Arabidopsis thaliana: one gene and its partners. The protein of the gene in region 3 interacts with the protein of the main gene of each other region in a pairwise test. Each region holds a gene or a part of one and is shown on either strand. Other genes may lie near its edges.

The links.
Region 1: the proteins of PABN1 (region 3) and AT5G06770 interact in a two-hybrid assay, tested with the Arabidopsis thaliana proteins (one large-scale study listed by BioGRID).
Region 2: the proteins of PABN1 (region 3) and AT3G43590 interact in a two-hybrid assay, tested with the Arabidopsis thaliana proteins (one large-scale study listed by BioGRID).

The regions. Positions count from the first base shown.
Region 1 is NC_003076.8:2,087,680-2,097,960, reverse strand, and holds AT5G06770 (KH domain-containing protein / zinc finger (CCCH type) family protein), read left to right. Parts: upstream 1-4,959; 5' UTR 4,960-5,173; coding exon 5,174-5,252; exon of another isoform or gene 5,253-5,781; coding exon of another isoform or gene 5,782-5,794; coding exon 5,795-5,855; exon of another isoform or gene 5,856-6,382; coding exon of another isoform or gene 6,383-6,441; coding exon 6,442-7,024; 3' UTR 7,025-7,258; downstream 7,259-10,281. Other genes in the region: EML2 (Emsy N Terminus (ENT)/ plant Tudor-like domains-containing protein), read left to right, coding at 1,584-1,691, 1,760-1,869, 1,964-2,072, 2,185-2,343, 2,870-2,938, 3,144-3,371, 3,449-3,517, 3,615-3,678 and 1 more; LEA4-5 (Late Embryogenesis Abundant 4-5), read left to right, coding at 7,648-7,734, 7,818-8,207; AT5G06755 (uncharacterized protein), read left to right, coding at 8,674-8,794, 8,876-9,114; AT5G06750 (Protein phosphatase 2C family protein), read left to right, coding at 9,716-10,037.
Region 2 is NC_003074.8:15,505,096-15,516,417, forward strand, and holds AT3G43590 (zinc knuckle (CCHC-type) family protein), read left to right. Parts: upstream 1-4,431; 5' UTR 4,432-4,657; coding exon 4,658-4,972; intron 4,973-5,136; coding exon 5,137-5,277; intron 5,278-5,369; coding exon 5,370-5,531; intron 5,532-5,629; coding exon 5,630-5,788; intron 5,789-6,042; coding exon 6,043-6,159; intron 6,160-6,297; coding exon 6,298-6,531; intron 6,532-6,632; coding exon 6,633-7,160; 3' UTR 7,161-7,479; downstream 7,480-11,322. Other genes in the region: AT3G43583 (uncharacterized protein), read right to left, coding at 1,679-1,981; AAO2 (aldehyde oxidase 2), read right to left, coding at 7,683-7,912, 7,983-8,172, 8,248-8,346, 8,429-8,524, 8,619-9,575, 9,659-9,877, 9,954-10,163, 10,237-11,322.
Region 3 is NC_003076.8:20,774,013-20,784,071, forward strand, and holds PABN1 (polyadenylate-binding protein 1), read left to right. Parts: upstream 1-5,648; 5' UTR 5,649-5,747; coding exon 5,748-5,903; intron 5,904-6,002; coding exon 6,003-6,105; intron 6,106-6,184; coding exon 6,185-6,307; intron 6,308-6,374; coding exon of another isoform or gene 6,375-6,383; coding exon 6,384-6,442; intron 6,443-6,686; coding exon 6,687-6,878; intron 6,879-6,962; coding exon 6,963-7,081; intron 7,082-7,183; coding exon 7,184-7,229; 3' UTR 7,230-7,545; downstream 7,546-10,059. Other genes in the region: FSD2 (Fe superoxide dismutase 2), read right to left, coding at 66-237, 624-812, 1,155-1,232, 1,435-1,472, 1,554-1,623; AT5G51105 (ECA1 gametogenesis family protein (DUF1278)), read left to right, coding at 3,620-3,991; AT5G51110 (Transcriptional coactivator/pterin dehydratase), read right to left, coding at 4,304-4,395, 4,474-4,669, 4,994-5,368; AT5G51130 (S-adenosyl-L-methionine-dependent methyltransferases superfamily protein), read left to right, coding at 7,884-8,105, 8,202-8,316, 8,518-8,565, 8,690-8,948, 9,220-9,307, 9,385-9,450, 9,538-9,606, 9,800-9,889.

The DNA of each region.
Region 1 (10,281 bases), about 19 Mb from region 3:
GCATAGGGATATATGGATTGTGTGGTGTTTGTTGTGTTACAGTCTAATGATGATGATATTGATGGTGGTGGTTTATAAACTAGAATAGACGACAGTCCAAAAAGGAGAAGAGAGGATACAAATGGAATGGATTTTTGTAACTTTGGCTTTTGTGGTTTATGACGTTCTTTTGCTACTATCTTCTGATATTGTTGTTTTCTTTTGGTTGTATACAACGGGACCAATTTCGATTTTCAGTTTACTTATCTGACTTTTCTAAGATCCATCAGAAATAAAATATTTCCTTAAATAACATCATTATGCAAAAAATTAAGATAGTGTAACCTTAAAAATGCTAGACAACATATAAAACAAGTTATATTTAAAATATCAAAATGTTGATAAAATTTATAAAGTGTAAATTTTAATTTTCAAAATCTCAGTTTTTCCTAAATTATATAATTGTATTAACTAAAACTACATTAATTTAAAATTATTTATTAACTTTATGTAATATCAATTAAAAATAATATTCATATATAGTTTAAGCTTATGCATAATGGAGCTTATATATAGATAATTTTATTTTTTATGATATATAAAAAATTTAAACATTAAATTAACAAGCCTGATTCTAAACAATTTTAGCATAAAAACCAACTTTTATTTATTATAAATACAAGTCTTAGTTTAGACTTTAGAGACTCCAGTAGAGGTGCCTTAAAAAAAACATACATTTCATATTTTCATTAACAGTTTGGGCCAAACAGGCCTATGTTATCATAAAATAGGCCCAAAATGAAATTAAACAAAAACGCATCGTCTTGTCTTAAGCTGCTTCCGACCAAACTAAGGTTTCTCTCTCCTCCAACTTGGAACTTCCCGTCTTCGATCTTCTCTTCTCTCTCTCTTCATCGCACGCTGTGCCCAGCCAGCTCAAAACACTGCACTTCCGCTTTTTATCAAGATCAATCTCTACCAATACTTAGAAAAGTTCTTTCCTTTTTGTCAAATTCTTTCAATTTCTCTCTTCAATTCCCTACGAATTACTCACTTCGGATCCAATCAGCTCTTTATAGCCTCTGCGTTTGGGAGTCAATCTTTCTCTCTTCGACAATTAAGGGTTTCGTATAAAGATTGCTGTTTTACGACAGGATTCTGAATAAGGAGGTATAATTTCTGTTTTGTACTTAGTTTGAGCGATTTAAGACATTTCTCTTTTGTCCATTGAGAGATCTAACAGTTCTAGGGTTTGAAATATCACTGGAGTTTAAAAAAAAGGGTTTTACTAAATTATTCTCTTTCTTAGGGTTTAAGATATTCTTTTCACATTCTATTAGATTGTTTGATCATCTCATGTCTATTTTTTTTGCTGTCCGAATATTCGCTTAAACTAAAGTTATCCAATTTCTTGATACAATAAGTCCACCAATAAGCTCCTACATTCTCATGAGACCTCGACTGTCAAAATTATTCATGAATCTGATTAGTGCCAATGTTTTTCGTGAAGTACCTGAAAATTTAGTAGTTTGTTAAACTATTGATGTTATAAAGTGTTTTCTACATTTCAGAAGAAGGGTTGGTTTCATTTGGATGGAAAGTATATGGTAGGTCTACACATTAATATGGAAGCGCAGATTCATATACTTGAGCAGGAAGCTTATTCTGCTGTATTAAGAGCTTTTCAAGCACAGGCTGATGAATTTTCTTGGGTAAGTCCTCTTTCTTCCTTTTGCCATCAAAAGACAAAGGATTTGGCTTATATGGTTTCATTTTATAGGATAAAGCAACCGTGATGACAAACCTACGTAAAGAATTGAGGATATCTGATGATGAAAACCGACAACTGTTGAACAATGTCCATAATGATGATCTTATCAAAAGAATAAGGTAACGAGTCTGATCATTTGTGATAGTAAAGCTATGAATCTAGATTTCGTTGTATCTTGTAATAATGTGTTGTATGATGGAACTGGACCAACAGAGATTCGAGACCAAGAGGTGGAAACCAGGTTGTTAGACATCAGTCCCTCGATGTTCATCCTAGTCCGACTTTTTCAGCTTCTCGGAAGAAACAGAAGACGTTCCAATCCGTAAGACTTCTTGTTTTAATCTTTGGTCATAGAACAACAAGCAGAGGATATCTGTATTTGCATATGGTTTTCTGTTTATTTACTGATCATATCATTTGTGATACACATGCAGTATCCGTCGATTGGTTCTACTAGAAGTAAGTCATTCAATAACCGTGTAGTATCAGCAAATGAACCTGCGGAAGCTCTTATTGGAAGAAAAGTGTGGACAAAATGGCCTGAAGACAACAGCTTTTATGAAGCAGTAGTTACACAATACAATGCAAATGAGGTAACTTCTGATGGCTGAGACCTTTTTATTGAGATTGAATCAGAAATTCATATGTTCAGCATTATATATGTTTGTGTGTCGAGGTGTCTCCTGTACTTCGAATATCTGACTCCAAGGCCTCAAAGCCTGATCGAAATTTACCGTATAGTTCAGAGTTACTCTAGTGAGTGAGCATTGCAATTACTTTAGGTTGATTGTAACTGTGTAGAAAGCTAAGCAACTAGTCGAATCGCTTAGCTAGATAGCTCACTAGTTAAAAAGGAAGTTTAGGCAGAATGAGCCGGGGTACTCTGGATTAGTCTAGGATCATGGTTTAGGCATTTGTCGAAAGACTTCTCTAGTTAATCAAGTCTCTCTATAGTGTAGTTCTTGATGAATTGAAGAAAGGAGGTGTTTACTGTTAATGTGCATATGAGGCGTTGAAAAGTATACTATGACTTTGATATATCTAGAAGTTTGGAACTGTATTTAGCGTTGAACATAGCTTAAGTATATTGTAATTGATGCATTCATTGTTCTCTCGCAGGGTCGACATGCGTTGGTATATGATATAAACACAGTGAATGAGACATGGGAATGGGTTGATCTTAATGAGGTAATCTTCACGAGTTTTTGATATTATTAGGTTTTTAAGTTTTTTGTGGAAAATGCTGCCAAGAATGTCTTTTGGGTAAAGTTACATTTGTTTTTGGAGGTAGCTTTCATTAGTAAGATTACGTGGGAAACATTTGTATAGTGTATCCACCTAGTATGAAAACATTTTCAGCAGAATCTGAAGTTAGTTAGTTATATAATTGTAGATTCCAACGAAAGATATAAGATGGGATGGAGAGGAAGATGGGGTAACTTTGAATGTAGGACATGGCGGTGGAACAACTCGTGGGAATCGAAGGACCTTAAGCCATGGTGGTAGAGGGAGAGGTCCAAGAACTCAGCCAAGAAGAGAACATTTAGCAACGGAAAACGGTGGTGGGAGGAAGTTTTTCGGTGAGATTGAATTGTTCAACACAGACTCACTTGTGAAAGAGGTAGGTATCTCTATCTCTCTGCATTTTGTTTCTCTTTAGGCAAAAAGGGTTTTTGATGTCGAAATCTTTCGCATTAGGTCGAGAGAGTTTTTGATTCAAACCTTCCTGATCCACATGAGCTTGATAAGGCCAAGAAGCTACTCAAGGTGAGCGATATGATAATTGATAAGAACTTTGTGACGAGATATCGATTGAAAGAAACAGTGAAGTGAAACTTGGTGTTGTTGTTATTGGATGATATAGGAACATGAACAGGCGCTTATTGCTGCCATTGCAAGGCTTACGGATGCTTCTGATTACGAAAGCGGTAATAAATGTGAACAGCGGCCTTTGTTTATTTCTATTTGTCATGCACTAAGATCACTAACAACAACATAATTTGTGCTGGTGAACCAGATGGAGAAGAACCGTATTCGCATGAGCTTCCAATGCTGCTGGGGTGAGTATGTATGACACCATCACCCCTAGGAAAAATGACTAGCAATATTTCTTTTTCTTCTGTTTTGCTTTAAGGGATCCCAGAAAATGATTTTGTTCATATATGATGAACAATTAGTAGTATTCTTCTAATTTGTGGTTTCAGAATGTATGAAAATAATCGTTAGGAATTTTGTTTGTAAAAACACTATTTTTAAAAAAAAATTCTGAACTTGTGTGATCATCATCAGGCTTGCCATCAGGATCGTTAATAATTTACTTGCTCAAATCCCCAATTCCTGTCTAAACAATGTAAAAAGAATCGAACCAAGCATGTAAATATTGAGAAGAGGCTTTTGACCTTTGAGCATAACATTCAAAATCTGATTCAATTAGCAAGAATATAAGATGGAAAGTGAGATCAACATAAATCACCTGTCACTGAATCCTTCAATTTTAAAAATATTTCAATGGTTACTTTACTTCAATTTATTTTATTGTTTTAAAAAAATATATTCAATGGTTATAAGAACGGTTAACAATAAATTAGTATCAGGGTTATCGTCTTATCGACCCGATGTTAGAAATTTTTTATAATTTTTCTTTTGTTAAAATGACAATCTTAATTCTTAATGGCAATTATATGTTCAATCTTAATGGCAATCTTAAACCGATCGATTATTCAAATTATATGTTCCGTATTTTTTTTAGATTGAATGTTATTGATAGAGTTATCAGAAAAAAATACTACTTTTTAGTTTAAATTACTGTGATTATGATAAAAAATTAAAACGCGCCAAACTTAACGATTTTTTTCCAAAATTTCTACAAATGACTCGTTACCCAAATTATTTTTTCTGTATTTTTTGAATATATTAAAACTAATGTGACTATGATAAAACAATTAAAACGCGCAAATTTAACAATTCTCTATTTTTGAAACCACTGGATGTGAATTAACAATAAATATAAAGTAATATGTGTACAAATAATCAGAGTTGAATATTTTTTTGGTGTTTATTACTTGCATGAGTACAAGTTTGATTCCAGTCTCATCAAATAAACTCTATTATTGTCAAAACATAAATTCATTCTAATGTTAATGTATATACTTTAAATTTATAGTAATCCATATAATTAATAATGGAATTAGTCTCCTGGTCTTTTGGTGTTCCACGAATTAATTTATATTATTAACAAATTAAGCAAACCTCTATCCCCCATTTATATTGTTGAGCTGTGTGTGTGGAGATGATGATGATGATGATAAACCCAATAGAATTTTAAAAGGATAAGAATCGCAAAGCTCATATCACAAAACTTTGAGATCTCATTTCATCTTTCTTCGATTCTACCTACTCCGATTCAATCGATCTTATCGAGACATGGATGCTCGTAAGAGAGGACGCCCTGAAGCTGCTGCCTCTCACAACTCCAATGGCGGATTCAAGAGGTCTAAGCAAGGTTTGTTCTTTCACTCCTCTCCTTCCTATTGTCTCCAATTGGGTTTTAGAAATTCGAGATCTTCACAACAAGAGAGAATGTTTTGGTATCACTTATGTTTGTTCATTTCTAGTTGCAATGTGTGCTCTGTCTCTCGTAAAGGTTGTTCCTTTGTTCATTTTTGTGTTCATTAGAGAGATTAGTCGCAAACCCTTTTTCTGCTTCAGTCTGGTATTACCTTACTTGAGAGTTGGGAGACAATTGATATGAGAAGTTTGTATCTTGTTCTGCTTTGTGTTGTGCTATTGGCTTACCCTTCTTCTCATATTCATTGGATTCATCAATCAACTCCCATTAGCCTTTGTGACCACTCAACATTACTGGATTTACTTGATTGATATATTGATCTGTATCAACTCAAGCTGTTGAGTTCAATTTCAAAACTCTATAACCCTGGAAATTTTCAAAACCAGAATGGTATACTGGTGCCAAGTCCAAATGATATGTATTGAGAAAATTGTAGAAAAGTTTAACCAAGTAAAAGCACTTAATGTTTGCAACAGAGATGGAATCAATTTCAACTGGTTTAGGAAGCAAATCCAAGCCATGCACTAAATTTTTCAGGTTATAAATCTATTTTTTTTCCTGATTGGATCATGAAATTAAGAAGTAATACTGTATAAAGTGTGCTAATGAAGTGGATAGTTGTTATACAGGTACGTAGCACTGTTCATCCTTAAACGAGTTAAAAAGTCAATGTAACAAACTGTGATTCCTCCTAAGAATGGATGATAAGCTTATATGGAGTATAATTTTGGAACTGAACTCTACTGGTGAATCTAATATACAAAATCAACCAAAACTTGTTTTTGTGGCTGTCGTTGTAAACAATTTGTTTATTCTTCTTCTGTTTGATGGTAAGGAAACTGTAATTTTGCATATGCAGCATAAAACCATTGTTCTCAAGTAAGGTTCTTCTTGCATTATCTTTGAACTATCCATGAGTCTTTCGGCTCCTGTGCAACGTGTTGTTCATCGGTGATGCATAATGACTACAATCTGTTTTATTACTTTATAAATTTCTTTCATTATCTTTGTACTAAAACGCTATAGCTTTTTCGAGAAGGTAGCAATAGTGCAACAGCTTGGAGATGTGTCGTTTTGTTCTTTCTCGAATGAATTTGCTGATGCATTATGGTTTGTACTGCAGCACTTCTGGATGTCCATTTGGTGACAATTGCCACTTCTTGCACTATGTGCCCGGTGGGTACAATGCTGCAGCGCAGATGACAAATCTCCGACCACCGGTTTCTCAAGTTTCCAGAAATATGCAAGGATCTGGTGGTCCCGGCGGCAGATTCTCAGGGAGAGGAGATCCAGGATCAGGCCCTGTTTCAATCTTTGGTGCTTCTACTTCCAAGATCAGTGTAGATGCTTCTTTAGCCGGTGCCATCATTGGAAAAGGTGGAATCCATTCCAAACAGATATGCCGTGAAACAGGAGCAAAATTATCGATTAAAGATCATGAAAGAGACCCAAACTTGAAGATTATCGAGCTGGAAGGAACATTTGAACAGATCAATGTAGCGAGTGGGATGGTGAGAGAGCTTATAGGGAGGCTTGGATCAGTGAAGAAACCTCAAGGGATTGGTGGTCCTGAAGGGAAACCACATCCTGGGAGCAACTACAAAACCAAGATCTGTGATAGGTACTCTAAAGGGAACTGTACATATGGAGATAGATGCCATTTTGCTCATGGTGAATCTGAGCTGCGCAGGTCAGGAATCGCTTAGTTATGTCTTTAGACTCTTGAGAACAGATTATGCATTGTTAGCTCCATTATCATTGTGACTTTTTGCTCTCTCTTTTTGTTTTATCAATTTGTTTTATGCGACTCGCTTTGAAAACTTTAGCCCATTCTGTATTGAGCTCTGAAGATTCGACGAGTTCTGTAAGTTACCGATCACAGTTAAAAGACTTTGATATGTTAAAACCCTTATATTACAGCTACATACTATTTTTGTCTTAACTCTTAAGATATCATGCACAATAATATACTTGTTTTGTCTTAACCTATCGATTACAAAACCGGGTTAACCGCCGACATGAGGCGAACTCTAAAGCCTAACACGCGTCAACATCTATCTTCTCAACGACTCAAAGGCTTTCCAACACGTGTAGGACCAATAACTGAAACACAAAGCCTACCACCTCTTCTTCCTCTTCTTTCATGACACGTCTCACTGACGTGTCGTCAAGAACGTAATTAAATATTAAACTATCGTGACGAACGCGAGGCCTATGGCTATATCTATGGGACATGCTCGGTGAGCAAAACAATAAACAAAAGTAATCAGAAGATATCTTTGTAACATCTTTGAATTTCGCTAAAGGAAAAGAGAGAGATTTGGTAAAAATGCAGTCGATGAAAGAAACAGCTTCGAATATTGCAGCTTCTGCAAAATCTGGCATGGACAAAACCAAAGCTACCTTGGAGGAAAAGGTAACAGAATTGTGGTTATTATTAATTTATTGATGTAAAATAATAAAAATGGTGTAACGTTGGGTTTGTTTTGTCTTCAAAAGGCGGAGAAGATGAAGACACGAGACCCTGTTCAGAAACAGATGGCTACACAGGTTAAAGAAGATAAGATCAATCAAGCTGAGATGCAGAAGAGAGAAACGCGTCAGCACAACGCGGCCATGAAAGAAGCGGCTGGAGCCGGAACCGGTTTAGGTTTGGGGACGGCCACTCACTCGACCACTGGACAAGTCGGACACGGCACTGGGACACATCAGATGTCGGCTCTGCCTGGTCACGGAACGGGACAACTGACCGACCGCGTTGTGGAGGGCACGGCTGTGACCGACCCGATTGGAAGGAACACTGGAACTGGTCGGACAACCGCTCATAACACTCACGTTGGTGGTGGTGGTGCCACCGGGTACGGAACCGGCGGGGGATATACTGGATAAACGGTGTTGTTCACTTGTTCTGTTATTTGCTCTGTTTTTGTTGAATCGAAATTTCGTGGTTTTCTGTCTTACTTTCGTGTTCTGTTTTTTTTTTTTCTTTTTCTTGTGCTTCTGAATAATTGTAGGACTTCGATCTCATCTAGGTTTTTGTTGTTGGATGATAGTCTTACTTTATGAGTAGAATGTTCATGCAATGTAACAGTAGTAAAATTATCCGTTAACAATATTGTGCCCATGCAACTTAACAATAACAATACATTGCTAACTTTTTGAACTTTGAAGAGAAACATTGCTAATGCTAAGTTTTTGAAGAGAAGCATTCGCATCATATTTGAATTAATCTACTATGTTATCAAAGAAAAATTATTTCTCTGCGCAATGGGTTTGTATAAAACAACATGTACCATGCGTGAATATTCTTAAAATAGTCACTTCGTTTTGAACCATGAAGATTTTTAACGATTAGATGATCATTGATCCGACATTAGTATTTGAAGTACAAAACCAAAGTCAAAAGACTCACAATTATAACCTTTACAGTTTTTGGTACGTTTTCGATTTTCACGCTGACTCTTCTTCCTTCTTCGGTTGCTCTATAATCGTCCAATCTGATTTGGATCTTCGTTGGTGTTTTTTTTTGTGGTTGTAGGAAGAAAAATGTCTTTCAGTTTTTGGAAAGGAGGAGGCTAAACATGGAGTGGAGATGGCTTTGATTGATTTGGATGCTTTTCAGTTTTTTGTTAACATGGAGTACAACGATATGCACGAGACTCCACTGGGATCTCATAGTATCCAAGCTGATATTGATGATCCAACAACTTTGAAGTCAAGACCACAAACTCATGATGTAGAACCTAATCAGTTTCCCATTACTTCCTCATCAAGGGATCACCCGCAAGGAGCGTGATATTATCAAGCTCAAAGCCCAGTTTGTGGCTGATTTTGGAATGCCTTTTGGGCAGGATTTGGTGATGAAGAGTGTGTTTATGAAACCTGAGCTTGAGCGGTTGATCCTCTGTTTAGGTTTGTCAAATGCTTTTAACTTTTTTTAAGAAGAAACGCGTTTTTAGACTTCTATTTCTAAATAAATCGACAAAAACAAAAATATGATGTAAGATCCTTGGTAATACGTACCAAAAATCACGTCATCAATTGAATTTAATTTTAATTTATAGAGACAACTTTAATTTACACAAATCATATTTTTCACACTTTGCTTCAACTACTCTCTCACTCTTGAAGACCAACGAAAGTCTTTTCCTTTTTCTCCAAAAATCTCACATTTTTTTTCTTCAGTTTCATCTAAAAAGATTCAATTCATATCGAAAATAAAAAAGGAACAAACTTTGCTTTTTGTTTTCGCAATCTCCGATTCGTTAACTCGTTTTCTCTCTTCACCTGTTTCAAGCTTTTCGATCCAACAAATCACGAGATTCCTCTTTCCGGTGTGGTCTCCGGCGACCTAAAATAAAGAGTTAATTCTCGTGGTCGTGGAGAGCAAATGAGGGATGTTCTCCTGGTTAGCGAGAATGGCTCTTTTTTGTTTACGACCTATGCGGCGATACGGTCGTATGAACAGAGATGATGACGATGATGATGATCACGACGGTGACTCTTCTTCCTCCGGTGACTCCCTTCTTTGGTCTAGAGAACTCGAGAGACATTCTTTCGGAGATTTCTCTATTGCTGTTGTGCAAGCTAACGAGGTTATTGAAGATCATAGTCAAGTCGAGACTGGAAACGGTGCCGTTTTCGTCGGAGTTTACGATGGTCATGGTGGTCCTGAAGCTTCTAGATACATCTCTGATCATCTCTTTTCTCATTTGATGAGTTAGTTTTTTTTAATCTCTTTTTGTCTTCTTCAAGTCAAACAAAATCTCTTTTTGTGTTCTTCAAGTCAAACACTAAGTCCACTTTGATATTCTGTGTCTGTGTGTGTTTCTTCTTCTTGATTTGGTTTTGATGATCGGATAATTTTTGTAGAAAGTTGAAATCTTTATGCATCTGATGAACAGTGAAGTGAATCTTGACTTTTTCTTTATCATTTTTTGGTGAGCTACCTACTTTTTGGCAG
Region 2 (11,322 bases), on a different chromosome or scaffold from region 3:
CACCGGTAATCAAACTGTTGTAATGTTTTGATTAGTTTAGAAAATAAAAACTTACAATCACTAACTTTACAGTTAAGTTATATCTTAATGTTATCTTACTAATATAATTTCTCCGTGTGAGTTCGGATCTTAAAATGTAACTATACACGAACGCAATTGAATTTCGATCATTACTGTTAACTTTATAATATCTATACTATTACAAAGTTTACTCATAACAAAATATAATATATTTTTAAAATCTATTAAACAATTTTTATATTTTGCAAGTATATGCGAATTCATATCTAATACATTATATTATAATATATATCACAAAATAACAAAATAATCTACATTAAATTAAAAATATGAAATCTCGCACGTATGTGCGGGTCAAGATCTAGTATATTATTATTTGGAAAGTATTGTAAACAAATGACATTAGAATGCCATTAAAAAAATCTAATCATAGACCAAATTTATCCACATCATTAAAGTTATGATCCACTTCTTAATCTCGCGGGTCAAGTCATCAAACGGGTTTTCATACATTACATAAACTTTAATATCAACTAATTAGATAAGTGATTATTGAGAAAGATTTCGTAAACAATAATATCAACTAATTAGATAAGTGATTATTGAGATAGTTTTCATAATCAATAAGATTAAATATTCAGTTAAATCTTCTAACTATGGAACATATACAAACACAATATTTGATAACTGAATAGAAACAAAATCTTTGGCATCAATAACCTTCTATCATCACAAATCTTCAAGAACAATTTAAAATTTTTCTATCAAAATTAATATACTCAGAAAATAACATATTTAAAACATATTATTCTACAATTGTTTGTTGAATTTTCTAAAAACATATACTCAAAAAAACCTAATCTTAGACCATATTACTCTGTAAAACATTCTAAAGAGCGTCATTTAATTCATATAATCCCCTCCAAACTCATAAAAGTTTATAAACAATGATAAATTAATTCATCTCATTAAAGATAAACAAGTCAAATACTAATTTATGCAATTTAATTAATTGTAACGGTGTCAAAAGAATATAAACTGTTCATTCTATAAAGAAAAAATTGTAACGGGTCAACACTTTAGGCTTTAGTAATATATTTCTTTTAAACAAAAATTTTGACTGAGTAACGGGTCATAATTTGAATATTTATATTCAATTTCATGCTTTTTTTTTGAAATGTAAAATTTTATATACTTCAATAAACTTTTTCAATATTTAGTTTGGAATATTTTAAGATAGTTTTACTTGATATTTTTAAAGAATATCATCAACACTTAATAAATCAAAATTTAAAAATTTTTAAAAACTCTAATTTGCTTCTTTTTAAAAAACTTATATATTTAAAATATTTATAATAGATGGCGGGTTAAATATAATGTTTTATGATGAAATGAGTTATGATCTTTATAAGTATTTGAATATTTATATTTTTTTATTTTCTACAATTCTTTTTTTGAAATTCATAATTTTATATATTATAATAAACTTTTTAAATACTATAGTTTGAAACATTTTAAAATAGTTTGATTTAATATTTCGAAAGAATATCAAAAAATTTAAGAGTGAATTAGGTGAATAACCATATTTGCAAAAGTTATTAAATAACTAGCACTATAACATACATAATTCAGTAACTAACACATGTGGGATATGTAATTACAACCTACTCCTTATGGCAACGGAAGTGACTCCGGCGACGGTGGTGGCTCCGGCAGCGTGGTTGCTCCGGCGACGGTGGTTGCTCCGGTGACAATGGAAGCTCCGGTGACAATGGAAACCCTGACAATGGGGTGGTGGCTCCGGTGACGATGGTTGCTCCGGCGACGTTGGTTTCTCCGGCGACGGTGGTGGCTCCGGCGACGGTGGTGGCTCCGGTGACGGTGGTTTCTCCGGCGGACGATGATTGCTCCGGTGACAATGGAAACCCCGACAATGGGGTGGTGGCTCCGGTGATGGCATTTGTTCCGGTAAGGGTGGTAGCTCCGGCGACGGTGGTGGTGGTGATGATGGCGGCGACGGCGGTGGTAGTGGTGATGACGACAGCGGCGGTGGTTGTGGTGGAGATGGTTGTGATGGTAAGAAACAAGGGTATAATGACAAATATTGTAGAAAATATATCGAATATCATCCACTTTTTTTCTTTTGGTTAGTTAGTGAATTATTAAATTTTTGTAGGTTATTGATGCAAATTTCCCAAAATTTAATAGATCAAAAAGCTAAAATTATAGTTACTCTAATTTGATATTTTTACATCTATATTTAAAATATTTATAGCATATGGTGGGTTATATGTAATATCTTTTTAATAAACGGCATGTTAAGATTATATGAGGAGATAGGTTGAATAAGGTTTGACGCCTCTAAATATTTAAAAATAACAAATGATGGATTGTGTAAACAATAATTTTTAGAAAAATGTTTGATCCCTCTAAATATTTTAAAATTTGATTCTGCAAGCAATTTTAAAAATAACGAATGATGGATTGTGCAAGCAACTTTTTAATTGCGATTATAAAAATGAAAATATAAACTTCAGTCACATATAGAACTTTTTTTTTTTGTCAACGGATTTTATTTAGAGTTCAAAAGAGCCAATTGTGAGGGAAATTGTTTACAAAAGTGACATGAAGCGGTTCAGTACGAATTTTTTGTGCCAATTTGTCCGCCTTTACATTTGCAGTTCGAGAAATTAAAGATAAAGAAAATTTTGTGAATTCCTCTTTATCGGTTTTTAATTCCTCCAAATAAGTTGAAAACGCTGGTCATTCGGTTGGAGAAGACACCATCTTCACCATGTCTGAACAGTCTGTAAAAAATGCTACTTCTTGGTTGTCGGCACCAATCATACACTTCATCGCCCAAAGTAGAGCTTCGACTTCTGTATGGAGTGGAGAAAGACTTCTACGAAGATTAGCAGCTCCCATGGCTGGCGAGTCTCCATTTGATGATGTGCAAAACCACCATAATCAAGAAAACTTATAGCTTCCTTTTCAAGATCCGTCCACAAAACAACGCAAACCAGAATAAATATTATCGTGTGATATATTCTGGACCCAAATTTGTTTTTCCGATCCCATGGAACCGTTATTTTCGGAACTGAGCTCAAATTGAGCTAACTACCATGATTGTGCCTCTTTTTCTGCTAAACATAATACGTCTAACGGATCTTTATCCACATTTTCAAATATTTTTTCGTTCCTTGCTTTCCAAATATACCAGATTATCCATAGAAATGAAGATGAATCAAATTCTGAAGGTATTCTTGAAAATAAGTGATCCAAATTCGTAAAAATAAAATCCGTAGGAAAAATTCCTGGAACTGTAGAAATCTTTGAGAGAGCTCATATCTGTCTAGCCGGATGACATTGGAACAGAGAATGGTTTATTGTTTCCGTAATAGCGCCACATCTGACACATCCTGTATCACAATTTATACCTCTTCTCCGTAAATTCTCCGTGACAGGGACACAACCTGACAATGTTTGCCACAAAAAATGTCGTAACTTAGGTGGACATTGCACTTTCAAGCATGTGCTTTTAGAACGTTTATTTCAGGACCAATGAAAGATGAATTATCCTCCAATTTTTCTAACCTTGCTGTATGATAACCAGATTTAACTGTATATTTTCCGGATTTTGTGAAATGCCAACCTAGAGTATCCTCTTTTGTTGACGTACCCAAGTGCAATGCACTTATTAGCTGGACATCTTCCGGATCAAAGAGCTCATTCAAAAGATCAATATTCCAAAAATTTGACCGGCTATCTATTAAATGTTGGACTTTTAAAGATGGGTCAATAATTGAACCATTACTTATTGCTGGTCTCAGGAATTGAGCCGGAATCCACGGATCCTCCCAAACTGAGATAGATGCCCCTGAACCAACTCTTTTAATAAGTCCTTTATTAACCAGAGATCTAGCTGAACAAAGACTTCTCCATCCATAAGACGGAGAGTATAATTTTATATTTTCCAAAGAATTGGATTTTCGATAATATCTCCCTTTGAAAACCTTTGCAAAAAGAGAATCTGTAACCGTTATCAAACGCCATAACTGTTTCGATAGTATAGCTGAATTAAAATCATCTATACTCCGAAAACCTAAACCACCTTCCAATTTGCTAATACACAATTTATTCCAAGCCATCTAGTGCATACCTCTAAATTCACCATTCGAATTCCACGAAAGTCACATATAGAATTTGATATTATTATATACCAAAAATATGTTCATAATACATGCTAATAATTGCTAAACTATGTAATTAGCTCCAAAAAATCTCTATTTCAAACTAACTACCTAAGTAGTACGGTTCATGATCTGGTTAGTTGTAGTTAATTAAGCACTTATTTCTATTTATGTTTATATCAACCGTAATTAAGCACTTATAGTTACAGTTGTAGTTAATTTTTAAAAAACATAATAACTTATCGAGGGGTAAAATTGTAAAACGACCAAAAAACAAACCCTACCCTAATCTTCTTCTTCCTGCGCCGTATCCCAAAAAAAACACAGAAGAAAGAAAAAAAATTCGAACTTTTCTGAACCAAATCATTCCAAGCCTTTGCCGCTTAATCCTCGCAATCCGATTTCTAGGGTTTAGAAATTAGATTTTGGGTTTGGATCTCTTAATCATGCCGAGGCAGAATAAAGATGAAAAATTTGTTTTTGATGACGGAGAAGACGAAGACAGAGAAGATCCAGTAGCCATTACAGAAGTCGACAACGGCGAAGAAGAAGATGATGATGAAGCTAATGAAGATCTAAGCTTGAAGATTTTAGAGAAAGCATTATCGAGGCGTGATGTTGGGAACAAGCTTGATTCTGATCTCTCCTCCGATTCTGGTGTAGTTAGTACTGTGATGGTTAATGGAGTAAAGTCTAAGGTTAAAAAGTCTGAGAGTAGTAAGAAGATGAAGAGAAATAAGCTTGAAGCTGACCATGAAATTGTAAGTATGAACGATTCTCTTCTATATCTTCTTCTCATTACAGTTTCAATTATTGTCGTATTAATTGCTTTATAGATTTGAGAATCAGTAGTCTTTGATTTGCAATAGGAAAGATTGATTTGAGAATCAGTAGTGTTTAATGCTTATCGGTTTTTGTATAACAGCCTATTGTTTGGAATGACCAAGATGAAGAGAAAGTGGTGGAGGAGATAGTAAAAGGTGAAGGAGAGGATGATGAGGTTGAGAGATCTGATGAACCAAAAACTGAAGAAACAGCTAGCAATTTGGTTCTGAAAAAGCTTCTTGTGAGTTGATTGAATTGTTGCTCTTATCTCAAAATTGTGTAACTTGTTTGTGATGATGACCATTGTTGGGGTCTTGTTGTTGTTGTTGTTAGCGTGGAGCAAGATACTTTGACCCTCCTGATGCTGGTTGGGTGAGTTGTTATAGTTGTGGGGAGCAAGGTCATACAAGTTTCAATTGTCCAACTCCTACTAAGCGTAGAAAGCCTTGCTTTATATGTGGGAGTTTGGAACATGGTGCAAAGCAGTGTTCAAAGGTGCGGTTTTAAGTTTGATGGTAGACCCATGGAAGGTTTAGGACTAGTCTTATTTTACTGCATATGGTTGCTGAGTAAAGTTTTCGTTGTTTTGACAGGGACATGATTGTTATATATGCAAAAAAACTGGACATCGAGCTAAAGATTGTCCGGATAAGTACAAAAACGGGTCTAAAGGAGCTGTATGTTTAAGATGTGGAGACTTTGGACATGACATGATTTTGTGCAAGTATGAGTACTCTAAGGAAGATTTGAAGGTAACTTTGCTGATGATTTCTTTCATATACCTTACTGTTTTGTTTTTAAAAATTTAGTCAAAACAAACTCTGTTTAAACGAAAAGGAACTGATCATGACCATGTTTGGATTTATCATTTTTTTTCCTGAGTTTCCTTAACTTGAGGAGATATATCTTCTACACACAGCTGGTTTCACCTTTCTTGAGTTTCTGGTTGCTTTGCTATAAGATAGATCATATGGTAATGCTATTTTGCTGTATTTTCTTTGACCAGGATGTACAATGCTATATCTGTAAAAGCTTTGGCCATCTATGCTGTGTTGAACCTGGTAATTCACTGTCATGGGCTGTATCTTGCTACAGATGTGGTCAACTGGGTCATAGTGGACTGGTAAGTTATTGAGATTCTGATTTTGAATTATCCACACTGTGGATTGAGTTTTCCTCTCTAAACAGAATGTCATTTTAGTTAAAATAAATATGCCTAAAATGATTCTGCCACTCCAGACTCAAGTAATTTTCTCTCTAGGCATGTGGTAGACACTATGAAGAAAGCAACGAAAATGATTCTGCCACTCCAGAAAGGCTTTTTAACAGTAGGGAAGCCAGTGAATGCTATAGGTGTGGGGAAGAAGGGCATTTCGCACGTGAATGTCCGAATTCGTCGAGCATAAGCACTTCACATGGCAGAGAGTCACAAACTTTATGCTACAGATGTAATGGATCAGGACATTTCGCTCGTGAATGCCCCAATTCCTCCCAGGTAGGCTCTATCTCTCTCTACATTTGGTGCTTTGAGGTCTTCACTTCTTTCCTTTCTCTCACATGTTATGACTCACAGCGTTTCCGTTTTTCTTCATATAGGTTTCTAAGAGAGACCGTGAAACATCTACAACATCACATAAATCTCGCAAGAAAAACAAAGAGAACTCAGAACACGATTCTACTCCCCATGAGTCCAATGGAAAGACAAAGAAGAAGAAGAAGAAGAAAACACATAAAGAAGAACAGCCCCAGACTTCACCAAGGAAACGAAAACACAGAGGCGGTTGGATCACAGAGGAACCGGAAGAAGAATCTTTCCAAAGAGGAAAGATGAGAAGGCCAAAGTCTCCCATTACACCATCGGGTTATAACAGGTCACCCTCTACACATATTGGTCATAACTATAGATCGCCAAAATTCAATTCTGGTGGGCATTACCCGGGTTCTCAGTCTAGTAGGCATCACTCGGGTCCTTCACCTTCAAGGTGGCAGCCTTCTCATCAGCATCATCATCATCATCAGCATCTTCATCATCATCATCAGAATCACAGTTATGAACCTGCACCACCAAGGCATGGAAGAGCTAACCGCTATAGTGAGTTTGCAGGGAACTATGAACGGTGGTAGTATCAATTATATGATGATCAATGATCAAGGTCAAAGCTGGAGACTATCTAGCATGAAATCTATTATGCTTGATGGTGTGTTTCCTGGGATCAAAGGTAGCTTCCCTAGACCTCTTGTATTTGATTTGGGCTTTGGTGCAGCTTCTTGTTGTTTTGTTCTCTTCTCTTACACAAGTAGTTTGTTCAGTCCTCATTTACCCAAGTCACTTAGATTTTCCTTCGTTATGTTTGTTTAACTTATTATGAAGAGAATTTTGTATTTGTTATCAAGGATCATTACTATTATCATTTATATAAACTGATTCTTTATTCATCTGAAAGTGGCTGATTTTTTCTTACTCGAAATTTATCTACTTTATAAATTGGCAAAATCCCAAGTCATATCATCAACACCAGAAACAGAGTGTTTTCAAAGAAATAAACAGAGCAAAAGAGAAGATACTCCTGCACAGCGATTAATCTCCAAGTTTAAGAAAACAGTAGGAAACAAATTACCTTCTTTCATGTATTGTTTGTTGTTTACTCATAGGTTTGAGTTGTCGTGTAACTTCCACTCCAAATAGCTTTCAATGATATCTAGACCGCATAGCTCCTTCACAACCGGCATTGTAGCTGGAACTGGCAACTGAAACGCTGAACCGGAGGAACCATTCTCACCTTTCCACATACATAGCTGTTTGCGTGCTTCTTTAACAGCCTGTCTGGTAGCGCAGTGCACCGAAGCTGCCAGTAGCAACGGAGGCTCTCCCGAGGCTGCACTTACACAAACAATATGATCAAAAATGTTGATTGCATATGTTTTGCGTAGGAATGAGTGACTGACCTTTAGAAGAGAGTACGCGTTTTTCATGACATCCACCATTTAGTATCTCGACATTGAACTGTTTAGGAATGGTGTCAACTGTTGGAATCTTGTATGTCCATGTGCTATCCGTCAGAAGGAGTCCTTCTGGATCTTCTATGTACTCTTCAAGCATGAAAAACCCAAGTCCTTGAACAAAAGATCCTTCAATCTGAAGCAGAAACACACAAAACACATTACAAAAAAGATTCATTTGCTTTCTGAGGTCTCTCTTCATATATATTACCTGTCCTAAATCGACAGCGGGATTGAGACTTTTTCCACAGTCATATAAGATATCTGTCTGTAGAACTGTGGTTTGTCCCGTCACAAGGTCTACTTCAACCTATTAACACCATGAAAACACCAAAGTTACTTCATTTCTCCACTCCAATTTCAGATTTTTGAGAAAGGAAAAAAGAGCTTGCCTCGCTGACCGCAGTACCATAGTTCAGGTACTGCATGGGAGTGTCTTTTGGAGTATACAAGTCACTAGCTGATAAGTTCACGGATTGTGCATAAGCCTGAGTTTGGACATTAAAATCTTGAATCAGAATGAAGAAGCTCAATCTTTAATTCGTTGACACCAACAATAAGCAGCAAATCAAGGAAGAATACCTGAGAAATCAACTCATTCCAGGTGATTGGACCATCTGATCTTTCCATTAAAGGTTTCAATCTTTCGACTAAGGTTTCGCAGCAGAGACGAACAGCTGCGCAGCTTCCCTCGGATGTTGTGCTACCTCCTGTGAAATTTCCTTGGACCATGCTCAATGAATCTGATTGTATAACTCTTATCTTCTCCAAGAGTTCTTCCGTTCCATCGCATTGTAGCATACCAAGAGCATAACTAGTCATCTGCTTCACCTTTGTCCATAACCCTTGTCCTAGCTCGATTCCACCAATCTCAACAACAATCGTCCCATCGCTCAAAACACTTACTCTCCCTGGAGTAGCAAACAATAAAACCTCATAGATAATAGGTACTCGAGATATCCCTCGTTTTCTCCACATGTTAGACTCGTTGAACTCTCTGACAACAGAAACCCTCTCCTCAAACTTGGAAGATACGCCAACCTTATCCCACATCGAAGATAAAGTATACTCATGTGGTTCACCAGCACCATCCTTGTAGAACAGGGCTAAGCTCTCATGTGTATGGAGATTAATCTTTCTTATTGTATCAACCTCCAAAGAGAGGCTAGAGGCTATATTTTCGATGATGGCTTCAGCAATATACGTACCCTGCACGTCCCCCGGGGATCTCATGATTGCTCTGCTTAGAAGATTTGTTTTACAAAGTTTGATATCAAAAGATAAGGCGCCCCAATTGTACTTCTTTAGCGACCCTATGAGATTTGATGGAATAAACATACTAAAACCATAACTTGCCCCAGCATCAATTAGTATTTCTAGCTCCAAAGCTGTGATCTTCCCTGTAGATTTGAACCCCACACTATACGTTATCTTCATCGGATGCCTCCCACCAGTCATTATCATATCGGTCTTGCGGTTGACATAAGTTCTCACAGGACGCTGCAGTTTCTTAGCAGCAAGAGCGCACGCTGTTGCAACCTGAGACAGTAGAAAGCTTTCAGGTTTCGGTCCATTTCTTGCAGAAAGTGAGGGGAAAAAGAGGACAATTTTTGAAAACTTACTGGCATTGACTTGACAGATTTCCCTCCAAAACCTCCACCAACACGTCTGGTTATGACACGGATGTTATTTTCAGGGATGCCTAGGCAAGCAGCGACCGATGACTGTACGTACTGAGGGGTCTGTGTTGAACTATAGACTACAATGCAGTTGTCTTCATCTCCCACTGCAAGAGCTGTTTGTGTCTCCATGTAGAAGACGTATTGCGATCCGAGTCTTATCTGTTTCACATCAAAAGTTACAACGGTTGAACATATATATCTAATTTTTACAGTAAAAAAGGACTATATTACATACTTCCGAGCTGAGAATTTGGTGATCAGCTTCAGCCATTCCTTTTGATGTATCACCAACTTGTTGTGGATAAAGGAAAGGGATAATGTCAAACAGACTAGATTTCTTGACCGCGTCTTCTACAGATAAGATTGGTGGTTCCAAATCCTCTGTCTCGTATTCAACAACTGCAAGGTTTACTGCAGCATCCGCATGTCTCTGCGTATCAGCAACCTGCAAAAACAAAGTGTTGCTAAAAATGCTGCTGATGGAACTGATTCTCATGGACAAATATGATTGAACTTACCACGAAGGCGATGCATTCGCCTACACTAGTGGTGAAATCCTCTGCGAACAATTGGTCGGAGCCTAATCCAATCTTCATACCAATATTCTTTCCGCCTTTAGGAACATCCTTGCGAGAAATGACTGCAACAACTCCAGTAGGTACCAAATCGTCCTTGAAGTGAATACCTTTTATCCTAGCGAATGGCTTTTTGCTATAGATAAATGCTCCATAGAGACAGTTTGTGGGAGATGGAATATCGTCCACATAAACAGCCTCACCAGAAGCCTGAAGGGAAGCTCCAACTTTAGTAACAGGCTGACCAACTGGATTATATTCATTGTTTATAGGAACATTTTGTGAAGAAGACAACATTGGCAACGGTTTTGGTGGATCCAAGTGGTAACCATTTGAAGGTTTATCTGTAGTAGGATGGGTCATTAAGGTGTGAAGGAACTTGAAAAGGAAGCCAGGCGCCAAGCTTGACCTGTAAGCAGGATTGCTTGTACCGTCTTCAGGCACCACAACATTGCCAAGTAAGGTAATAGCCTCATACAGAACTTTGTCAGTGATTACTTTACCAGACAGGAACTCTTCGATTTCCTTACACCTAATGGCGTGTTTGGTCCCGTAAGCCCCGAAAGCCAATCTACAGTTAACTACCATTGTATCCTTCACTTCAGCCAAGAAAGCAGCATTCAGGTAAGCCAGAGCGCTTCCATGTGGACGAGGTGCAGCTCTATAGGTTTCAAAGAACAATTCAGAGTTTGTTTCAGAATGCCAAAAAGGAATTTCAATACTCAGAACCAGATCATGAGCCTCAAGAGGAGAACGTTCAAGGAACTCTTCAAGTGTTAGCTTTTCGAGTCCTCTTGATGAGCTCATTATGTTAACAAATGCACCAGCTGCAAGAAGTATTGTAGCCATATCAGAAGGAAACTGTTTCCTCTGAGCCATCACAAGGTTTCCACCAATGCTACCAAAGTTCCTGATAAATCTCGCCGCTATCATTTCCATATGAGTAGCAAGTTTTCCAAATATCTTCTCCACTCCCGGTGAGACCCTAATCTCCTTCAGAGCAGCAATAACTTTAGAGATTGTTACCAC
Region 3 (10,059 bases):
CTTAAGTATGTAAGTAATTTGGGGTTTTGCATATTTGAAAAGGGAACAAAGATAAAAACACTCACATGCAAGCCATGTCCAACCCGAACCAAAATTCGAAGCTGCAGCCGACTTGAACCTTTCCAAAAACTCTTCGAAAGACCCAAAATCTCTTTCTATTAATCTGAGGAGCTCTCCAGTTGGCTTTCCTCCACCTCCAGGTTGGATAGACTCCCAGAAGAACTCGTGGTTCCAAGCCTGCAAGCCCCTCATACATCTTTAATTTACATTCAATCAACCCATCTCACATTACGAAAACTTGCCACTATGACCATGGTCCTAATCTGATTAAAGATATGAATCGTCAGGTGGTTTGCCCACTTACCCTGGATGTTATTTCTTGTCCAATCCACAGTTCACAAGAAACTACATGTATCATGTCAATGCAAGTAACTAAGTGATTTCTTGTTACGTTTTAATGTCTCTACCTATCTATGGCAATATTTCTACATAACCTGAAGGTCTTTAACACTGACATTGCCACTTACACGAATACAGTGTACTTATGGGGTTTTCAGTCTACCTTTTACATGAAAACTTTATTTTTCTTAAGAAAAACTGGTGGAAAGCAATATGGCATTTACCTGTGCAGCGTTGTTGAAAGCAGGAAGCATATTGCCTTTGTTGTATGAAAGAAGCACAACTTCTTCCAAGGATAATGCATCTAGATCCGTGCCTAAGATTTGCTTGTTCAGGTTCTCTACATAAGTTTTGTGATGTTTGCCCCAGTGATAATCCAAGGTTTCCCGGCTCATATGCGGTTCCAGAGCATCCTACCATATATCAACACACCCAACGACCAACACAGAGTAAGCAACATCACGCATATGGTTCCAAAGCAGCAATCTCAATATATCTTTGATTTATTAAGTACTACGATTCACAAAATATCCTATTTGTTATTACTACATTCATCTTTAAACAGATAGCTTGAATATTAGAGTAACCATCAACCTTCACAGCCTTATATATATCACTATCGTACTATTAGAACCAAATAAACAAAATCTGATCCAATGATAAGGTTATATATCAACCAAAATTCAACCTAAAAGCTGGGTCTTTTTAATCTACTCGTTTCCAACTCTATTGATAACGAGTTCACGAAAACATACAAGAGGATATGGAGGTGGCTTCAGCTCAAATCCAGCTGTGATAACACCGGAAACAGCCACCTTTGTCCCTAACCGTCTCTGCAAAATGAAAACACACCAAAGAGTGTGTTTTTGAATTCAAGTTCAAAACAAAACAAGTAAGAGTTTCATTGAAGCATTTCATCAAACACTTTCCCTACATGGTTCATTGTTCATGTTACAACCCAAAAAAGAGTTCCTTGTAGAATTCATCAGCTAATTCAAACTTGGAGGAGATAAAAGAGAAGTTTCAAAAACAAACCTTTCCGTTTCTTTTCCATTGCATTCGCCGGTTTGGCCCTGTAATTCACCAACTAAACCCATTTAAAACCCCCCAAGTGTTCATAGTAAGCGAGAGAGTAAGATAGAAAAAGGAGAGACCTTGAGAAGGAAGAAGCAGAGGAGAGTACAAGAGAGACGAGGGAGTGGCTGTCACTGCAACATTCATCATCTTCACTCAAAGCGTTACTGATTATTTTTGATTCAACAAATATACAGATTCTTTCTTGCTATTATATAACTAAGCCCGCCTTCTTATCTCATAGTCAAATTTATTTCCTTTTTGGTTAGTGTTAAAATACTAATTTCAATTGAATTATATTTGTTTTTGTTCCTGTAAAAATAAGTGTAGTTCAAAAATAAAAGATTAAAATTATAATAATTGTGTGTTTAAATGACATTGAGTGAATGAAAAAAATTAATACATGATATTTATGATTTCAGTTATAATTTGGTATTAAAGTGTGGATTTATATATATGATTAATTATGTTGTATATGTGGTTTAAATACAAATTATATGGTTTGATGCTTTTAAACAATGTGCTTAGAGTCAGATCTTGGTGGAGGAGTCAGATCTTACACGACTTCAGTTTTTATTGTTTTAATTTTTGTCAAATCGAAAATCAAAATAAAAAATTGTTTCTTGCTATTTTCTGTTGTTTGATTTCATTCATAAATCGAAAGCAAAATATAAATTATTTGGTTTAATTTTACGATTTTTAATTTCGTTTTTAAACAAAAATCCATATAAAACAAAATGATGATTTCAATTTGGCTAGACCAGACATCTAGTGTTGCAATTTGAGAGGATGATTTCAAGAACTCAAAGCAAAATGATGCATTGACATCTTTGTTTGTTCATATGACGTTGATTTCACTTTCTGTAACCTTTGTATTGAATCTTGCAATTGCATATGATGAGACAACGGAAATAAGTGAAACTAGAACCAATACAAAGTTGTTTAACGTATGAAACCATTTCTAGTTTATTCTAAAATCCAAATGTTTGAGAACATATGTGAGATTCATATAGGGTCAAACATATCTTCAAATTTAAATGGTAACAAATTTTATCTAATTATTGCCGTAAATTTTATACTATTTACTTTTATTAAAATGGTAAATTTATATATTAAAAATCTTTTATGAGTGTTTAAAAATTAGTTTTAAGAAAATAAGATAAATAGTATTTGCAATTAAAAATGTTTGGTAATAATGATATATAGTAGAATTAAAGAAAAAAATACTTGAGAAAAATTGTGGGATTATATCCTAAACACTAAAGACTCTCTTATGTATAGAGGAGAATGATTTTTTTTAAATCAAATTATAGGAAAAAACTATGATTGTGTTGAATAGATAGACACTATATAGTATACTGCATGAAATTTATAGGATAAAAATATGGGCTATATAATTTAATGTTTTAATTTTAAAAGTTAAGTTTTTAGTAATTTGGGAAATAGTAAATTTAAATTTGATTAAATTAATTTATTTGATAAATAAGAAATCTTTCTATAAGCTAAATATTTAGAAATCCGAAAATATTATTTTTGGATGGTGTATTTAATATTAAAATATGTTTGGTTTAAAAAATAATAAGGATAAGGATAAGGATAGTGGAATTAATAGTGTTTGACAATGAGTATATTATATTCAATAAATGAAAAATAAAAATGATGAGAACAATTATGGGCTTGCCACATCTTTTACTATATAGAGGATTCCAAAAAGTTGGAAGAAAAACAATTCCTAAATTGAAAAGATTTTTTTCTTTTTCTTGCTATGAATGTAAATAAAATCTCAAAAAAAAAATTAGGAGATGATATATATCAAGATGAATAAAGACGAAAGAGACTTAAAATTTGTTACTGCTTCCCTTCTGTCATCTTTGTATTATTTCCTATCATATTGTTAGGAAAGATTTATTTCTTTACATATGAGAAATATGACAGCATCAAATTCAATGTGCATCAAACGTTTTGACTATTTTTGATTTTCTTCCAAAATTAAAACGACAAATTTGATTTTGAAAGCAACTTTTAAAAATACGTTTCGCCAAACTAATTACAGTATAAATTGGATCTCATAGCCAATAACTTTATCTCATCAAACAAAACTCAAGTCATCTATTTCTCTTGTTGCATAGTCCCCCAAATATTCATCATGTCGATCAAGAGTGTTGTTTCTCTCCTAGTAGTTGTATGCATCGCAGCCTCCGTTAATGCTCAGCTACCGCAGTTTCCCCCAATCATGTTCCCGTTTCCAAATCCGTTCAAACCAAGTCCCGGTATGGCAGGAAGTCCCGACTTGAGCAAATGTTGGTCAACAGTGATGGATTTGCCGGGATGCTTTGAAGAGATTCAACAAGCCGTAATGTCCGGCAAATTTGAAGGCGTTGGTCCTGCTTGTTGTAAAGCTTTCCTTGACGCTGAAGCTAACTGCTTACCAAATCTTCCATCCAACCCGTTTTTCCCTCCTATGATGAAACACCAATGCTCCAAAATGGCTAGTCCTCCAACCACCACCGCCTATTAGAATGCAAAAATGTAGTTGTGTTTTTTCGAATTTTTTGTTAGTCCCAGAATGTTCTAGAAGAAGAAATGATAATAATAATGTCTTAATCTAATAATAATGTCTCATTTCTTATATTGTGCTCCATATGATTGATGTTCTTTCTTCTTTTGATTGATGAATGAATCTCAAAGACATGTTGCGTGATATCTCTTATGCGGTTATGACAATGCTTTCTATATAACTCGACATGTAGACCGATCACACACAATTTAGAATACATCACATACATTACATACTATCAAACAAAAATGTTCCAAAATAATGAAAAGAAGATCACGCCCAAGCTCTTTTCCTAGGGGAAAGATCAGAAGTCTTGATATCATCTATTTTAGCCGCCATTATGAAATCATTCATGCTCAACCCTCCTGCATTATTCATCCAACAAACCGTCTTAAGAAACCATATATTAAAACTCAAACTCGAACATCAAATATTTGACATACCGATAGAAGAGGTAAATAGTTCAGCTCGAACTTGGGTAGGACTTTCCAAGTGAAGAGAAGGGTAATGACCAGAAGCTTCAGCAACCTTATGGATCCTGTTTATGAGTTCAACACCGCACCCAAAATCCCTCACTTTCCACATACACCTTATTTTCAGACCACCCGCTTCATTATCCACTATACTCCATCCCAAAACCTAAAACGTTTACATAATAATCATTGAGATTGATGTACCACATCATTAGAGTGGTAACCGTGAACCAAAACACCAACATGAGCCTTATCAACACTAATCATTTCATTTTTTTTTAATCTCGTAACCATTGTTCCTAATATGTCCCTCATGATACTAAAATTTTCATTGGCTTTTCTATATTTTTGGGTCACAATTCTATCTTTATAGATTAGAAATCTGTTAAACGCAGAATCAATAACATTTTCACAATATTTTGATCAACCAACAAACTTGTAAAATCAAAACTCGAACATTTTTATACTAAGAGAGAAATAGTATAAGTACCTTGTGGAGGAGAGTTCTGGCATCATCGCCGGACAAAGGAGGCTGTGAAGACGAAACAGGGGAACACTGAAGCTGGGAGAGAGACAAAACAGATGCGTTTGGTATCAAAATCTTGTGCTCAGTGCTTTGGCATCCCAACACTTTATCTCCGAATTGACTCGCTATCTCCTCCGGGTAAGGGTCACGAGCTCCGAAGTCACCAAGAAAATCCTGCGCCAGATTAGACCGGGTCACCGTTAACCGGCCGAGTTTACGGTTATTCCTACTTACAGGTGGTAATAAACCGAACACTTTAAGGATTGAGCGAGAAGGTTGACGGAGGAGGAGGGAGGACGCGGAGATGTTACACGGCGGTGATGATGACGTGGCGGCCATCGGGAGCTGTGATTTGCTCTGTACCGAAGATAAGAGTTTTGGTTTTTAGAGAGCGAAACGATTTTCAGACCACTGGACTGAGTTAAATGGGTGAGGTGCCACGTAATCACTAATGACTAATGGGAACCACAATAAACTTTCGTGGGACCGACTTTACACGTCACGTTTTAATCTGAGAAGCCCATTGGGTTTGATTGTACTTTTGTGTCCACTTTTGGTGAATCTACTTAAGATTTCATAATTCCGAAAGTATCCTTTTTGGGTATCTTTAATTACAAACAAACCTTCCCTTCTTTCCCGATTTCAAGCCCTAAAATTCCGAGACTTCTGTTTCTCGCTTTAACGACAGTCGCCGAGTGAGAGATATAGAGAGAGAAAGATGCCGGTGCACGATGAGCAAGAGCATGAGGTGTACGGTGGAGAGATCCCAGAAGAGGAAGAAGGTGAGATGGATACGGAAGAGTACGAAGAACACGGCGGAGAAGAAGGTGCCGCCGCCGGAGATGAGGAGCTTGAACCTGGCTCTAGCTCTAGGGTATTGTGATTCTTCGATCTATAATTTACTTTTATCCAATTGAGACTCTTCTTATTTTTTACTGTATTTAGTCTGTTATTTGCTTTGATTGTTTGATAGGACTTGGAGGATATGAAGAAACGAATTAAGGAGATTGAGGAAGAAGCTGGAGCTTTGCGTGAAATGCAAGCCAAGGCTGAGAAAGATATGGGTGCTAGTCAAGGTTTGTACTTATTAACTGATACGTAAAATCTTGAATCTTTGTGCGCAGCTTCACATTAACCTTTAAATTGATAGATTAGGTTTAAAGCTTGTCTTGTTGATTATGATATTGCTTTGGGTTTACATATTGGAATCTTTTAGTGAATCAATGAATCTGTCTAGAAATTTACTGGAGTTTGAGTATGAGAAGGAAATCATTAATAGTATTGTGGAGTCTTGTCAGTTAGCTAATTGGGTCAATACCTTTTATGTTGTTGCATATCAATGAAGACCCTTCAGGTGGTGTTAGTGCGGCTGAGAAGGAAGAAGTGGATTCGCGTTCAATATATGTTGGCAATGTGAGGCTTGTTCCACCATTAATTTTCACATGTTTCTCATATATGTTTGTATCTTTTTTAAAGAAAGTTTGTGTGTTTTATTGCTTTGGTATCAATGAAATTTGGAGGCTGCTTGTTGTTTATTTCTTTATCTCTAGTAATTGCTAAACTAACTTTCCTTCATATTTCAGAAAGCCTTCATATCTCCCATCTGTGAAGCTGATTCTTTAGATATCCTGTGTCTTTGTTTTTTTGTGTATATTAGGTGGACTATGCATGTACTCCAGAGGAAGTCCAGCAGCATTTTCAATCATGTGGGACAGTGAATAGGGTTACAATTCTGACAGATAAGTTTGGTCAACCTAAAGGTTTTGCGTATGTCGAATTTGTGGAAGTAGAAGCTGTTCAGAATTCGCTTATTTTGAACGAGTCAGAACTACATGGTCGTCAGATAAAGGTGCAAACTCGTTCAATACGATGTAGTTAATTATTTTCCATATTACGATTTGTCATTACTAAACTTTGTTTAATCTATTTTCAGGTATCTGCAAAGAGGACTAATGTACCTGGAATGAGGCAATTTCGAGGAAGAGGGCGTCCCTTTAGACCGATGAGGGGATTCATGCCAGGAGTTCCATTTTATCCTCCATATGCTTATGGGTGTGTTCTAGAACCTTACCTGCCTATCCTCTCTTTTAAAGTCCATTTGTTTGATTCATCATGGTTGTTCATAAAATTGACAATGGTTGATGGTTTGTGCAGGAGAGTTCCCAGGTTCAGACGGCCTATGCGCTACAGACCGTACTGATTAGGCAAATTGGTGTTAAAAAAGTAGCAGCTGCTTCTCCGTTTTCGGGAAAGCTTATCATCATCAACACGGTTCATCGGACGCTGCAGTTGTTTCGATTAACAGAGATGAGTTGAAGAATTGTATGGCAGAAGAGAGAGGGGAATTATATTCTAGATTTTCTGTACAATATTTGATGACAAGTGCAACATTTTGATGAGTTCCTTTGTTTTTATTATCTTCAAACACGAGTCACGATTTCACAATAACTCGCAAGCTTCCATTGTTCTAGATTTGATGCATATTGACCAAAAAAAAACAAAAGTTAATTCTCTAAGATTAATTTGGCCACGTCGGTGAAAGAAAAGGAAACTTTCGTATATTTACATAAATAGGTTTAAAGAATGTATTAACTAAAAAAGAGAGGATTACTTAAATATGAGACTCGTTAAACCCTTTTGGACTTTCAAAGGCGGTTCGGTTCTTCTTCTTCTTCTTCCTCCTCGCTCTGCGCCGCTTAACCTCGAAGAAAAACCTCTCTAGGAGCTAGCTTCGTCGAATCTCTCTGTTTAGACTTAATCGTTTTGTTTCGATTCTAAGAATCTAGCTGATAGCGATAACATAGAAGAAACCCTAACTTCGCGAGCTTTGTTCATCAACGCGTGTGAGAAAAAAATGGGTCGGGACAACGATCAGAAGAAGAATAAGAAGAAGAGAAACAGAAGTAATGAGAATGAGAAGAGTGTTGAGAAAGTAGTTGCTAATGAAGAGAAAGTCCCAACACAGCAGAAGCAGAAGCAACAACAAGGACAACAAGGAAATTGTAATCAAAGCAAGAAGAAGAAGAATCAAGAAGTTTATCCCTTCGGAAATTACAGAAACTACTATGGCTACCGAGTGAGTTTCGTAGTATATTTTCAAATTCCTTCATAGTCTGCTCATCTTTTGGTTTAGTATCTGATTTTGGATTCGTTTGGCAACATAATGTGTTAGATAAGCAATGACACGGATGAGGATCCTCGGCTTAAAGTGTTGAAGAAGGAATGGTTTGAAGGCAAAGACTGTCTTGACATTGGCTGCAACAGCGGCATCATGACTATTCATATTGGTATCTTCTTCTTATCAATATCATAATTTGTTCCTATCTATGTCCATCCATTATAGTAATAGATATGTTGTTGTAGCTATACCTGTCCTTATGAGAATGCTATAGTAAAGTGTGATTGAACTTCCATTGTGTCTGAAATCTCTCTGGCAGCATCCATAATTTTATATAGTCGTTAGCTGATATTGTTTTGCTCTTCTTCAGCAAAAAAGTTCGGTTGCCGGAGCATTCTTGGAGTTGACATTGATACAAGTAAGACTATAATTGGTTGTCATAATATCTTCCAAGTTTTGCTTTGTGTAGGAACTGAATTATACTCTTAACTACATTATCATTCAAGTCTGCACTAAATGAACTATGTTTTCTTTGATTGAAGGTCGCATTGAGGATGCTCACTGGCATCTTAGGAAGTTTGTCAGAATGCAGAATTCTACTAAGCCTAGTGAAAAGAAATCTAGTTCTGAGGGTGCCGATGGAGTACATGGATCGAAGGAGCCATCTGTTTCTCTCTCCAATGGCGAGGCAAAGGCAGATAGTGCAGAAACTAAAGACTTGTCTCAGATTGTGTCGTTTCAGAAAGAGAATTTTGTTCAAACCCGAAATCTTGACGACAATCGTTATGATACAATTCTATGGTAAACCCCTTTCCTTTTGTCACTTGTACTTTTGGTTTCTGCCATTTGGGAGGAATAAAAACAAATGAACAGTCACCATTTCTTTTGGTAATGCTCATACCTAAAAGTGCATATGAAATTTTATCTGTAGTTGAGAAAAGCCTTACAGGAGGTTTCTAGTTATGTTAGCTTATGTAACTAAGCCTTTCTAGAAGGAGGGCCACATTTTTAGTTCCAATCAAAACTTCCTCTGTCTTGGATTTCTTATGCTGACATGTTCTTTTCGATGCAGTTTGAGTGTGACAAAATGGGTTCATTTGAACTGGGGTGATGATGGTTTAATCACCTTATTTTCAAAGATTTGGCGTCTTCTTCAACCGGTAACTATATTATATCTAATCATGTGCCCATTATTTGCTTTTCATATGCGCAACTGACGGTTGGCTTTGCTTTTCAGGGTGGTATCTTTGTAATGGAACCTCAGCCTTGGAAATCTTATGAAAACAATCGTCGTGTCTCAGAGGTGTGTATATATACACAAGTTTATTTCTAATTGCGCAAGTTAGCTAGATATATAGTTTTAGTATTTGTTTGCCTTGTGTGTATGCAGACAACTGCAATGAATTACCGAACGATTGTTTTACGACCAGACCGTTTCCAAGAAATTCTTCTTGATAAGGTACTCTCTACTTCTCTGTTATACTGCCATGCAATAGTCTAAGTGTTGTTCAAAGTTGGATTAAGAGTCAGATTAAATCTAGCTCAAAACTTATTTGTGTAATGAGTTTAGTCTTGGCTTATTTTGTTGTCATTTGATCCTGTCTGTGATCGGATCCTCATGTTCCGTTACTTGTGTTTTGGTTTTGGCACAGATTGGGTTTAGAACAGTGGAAGATCTTACATCAAGCTTGTCCGGTGCAAGCAAAGGGTTTGATAGACAGATTCTTGCGTTCCAGAAATGAACATAACAAACCAGATGCCTCATTGAAGAAGAAGGACAAGTTGTTGAGTTTTTGAATAGCCTTGTGAAAATCAAATTATGACATGGTTGAACACAAGATATAAAAGGCAACTAAAAGTCGCTTCATATCTAATATGTAATCTTTTTGCTACAGCTTAGGCTCACTAATCT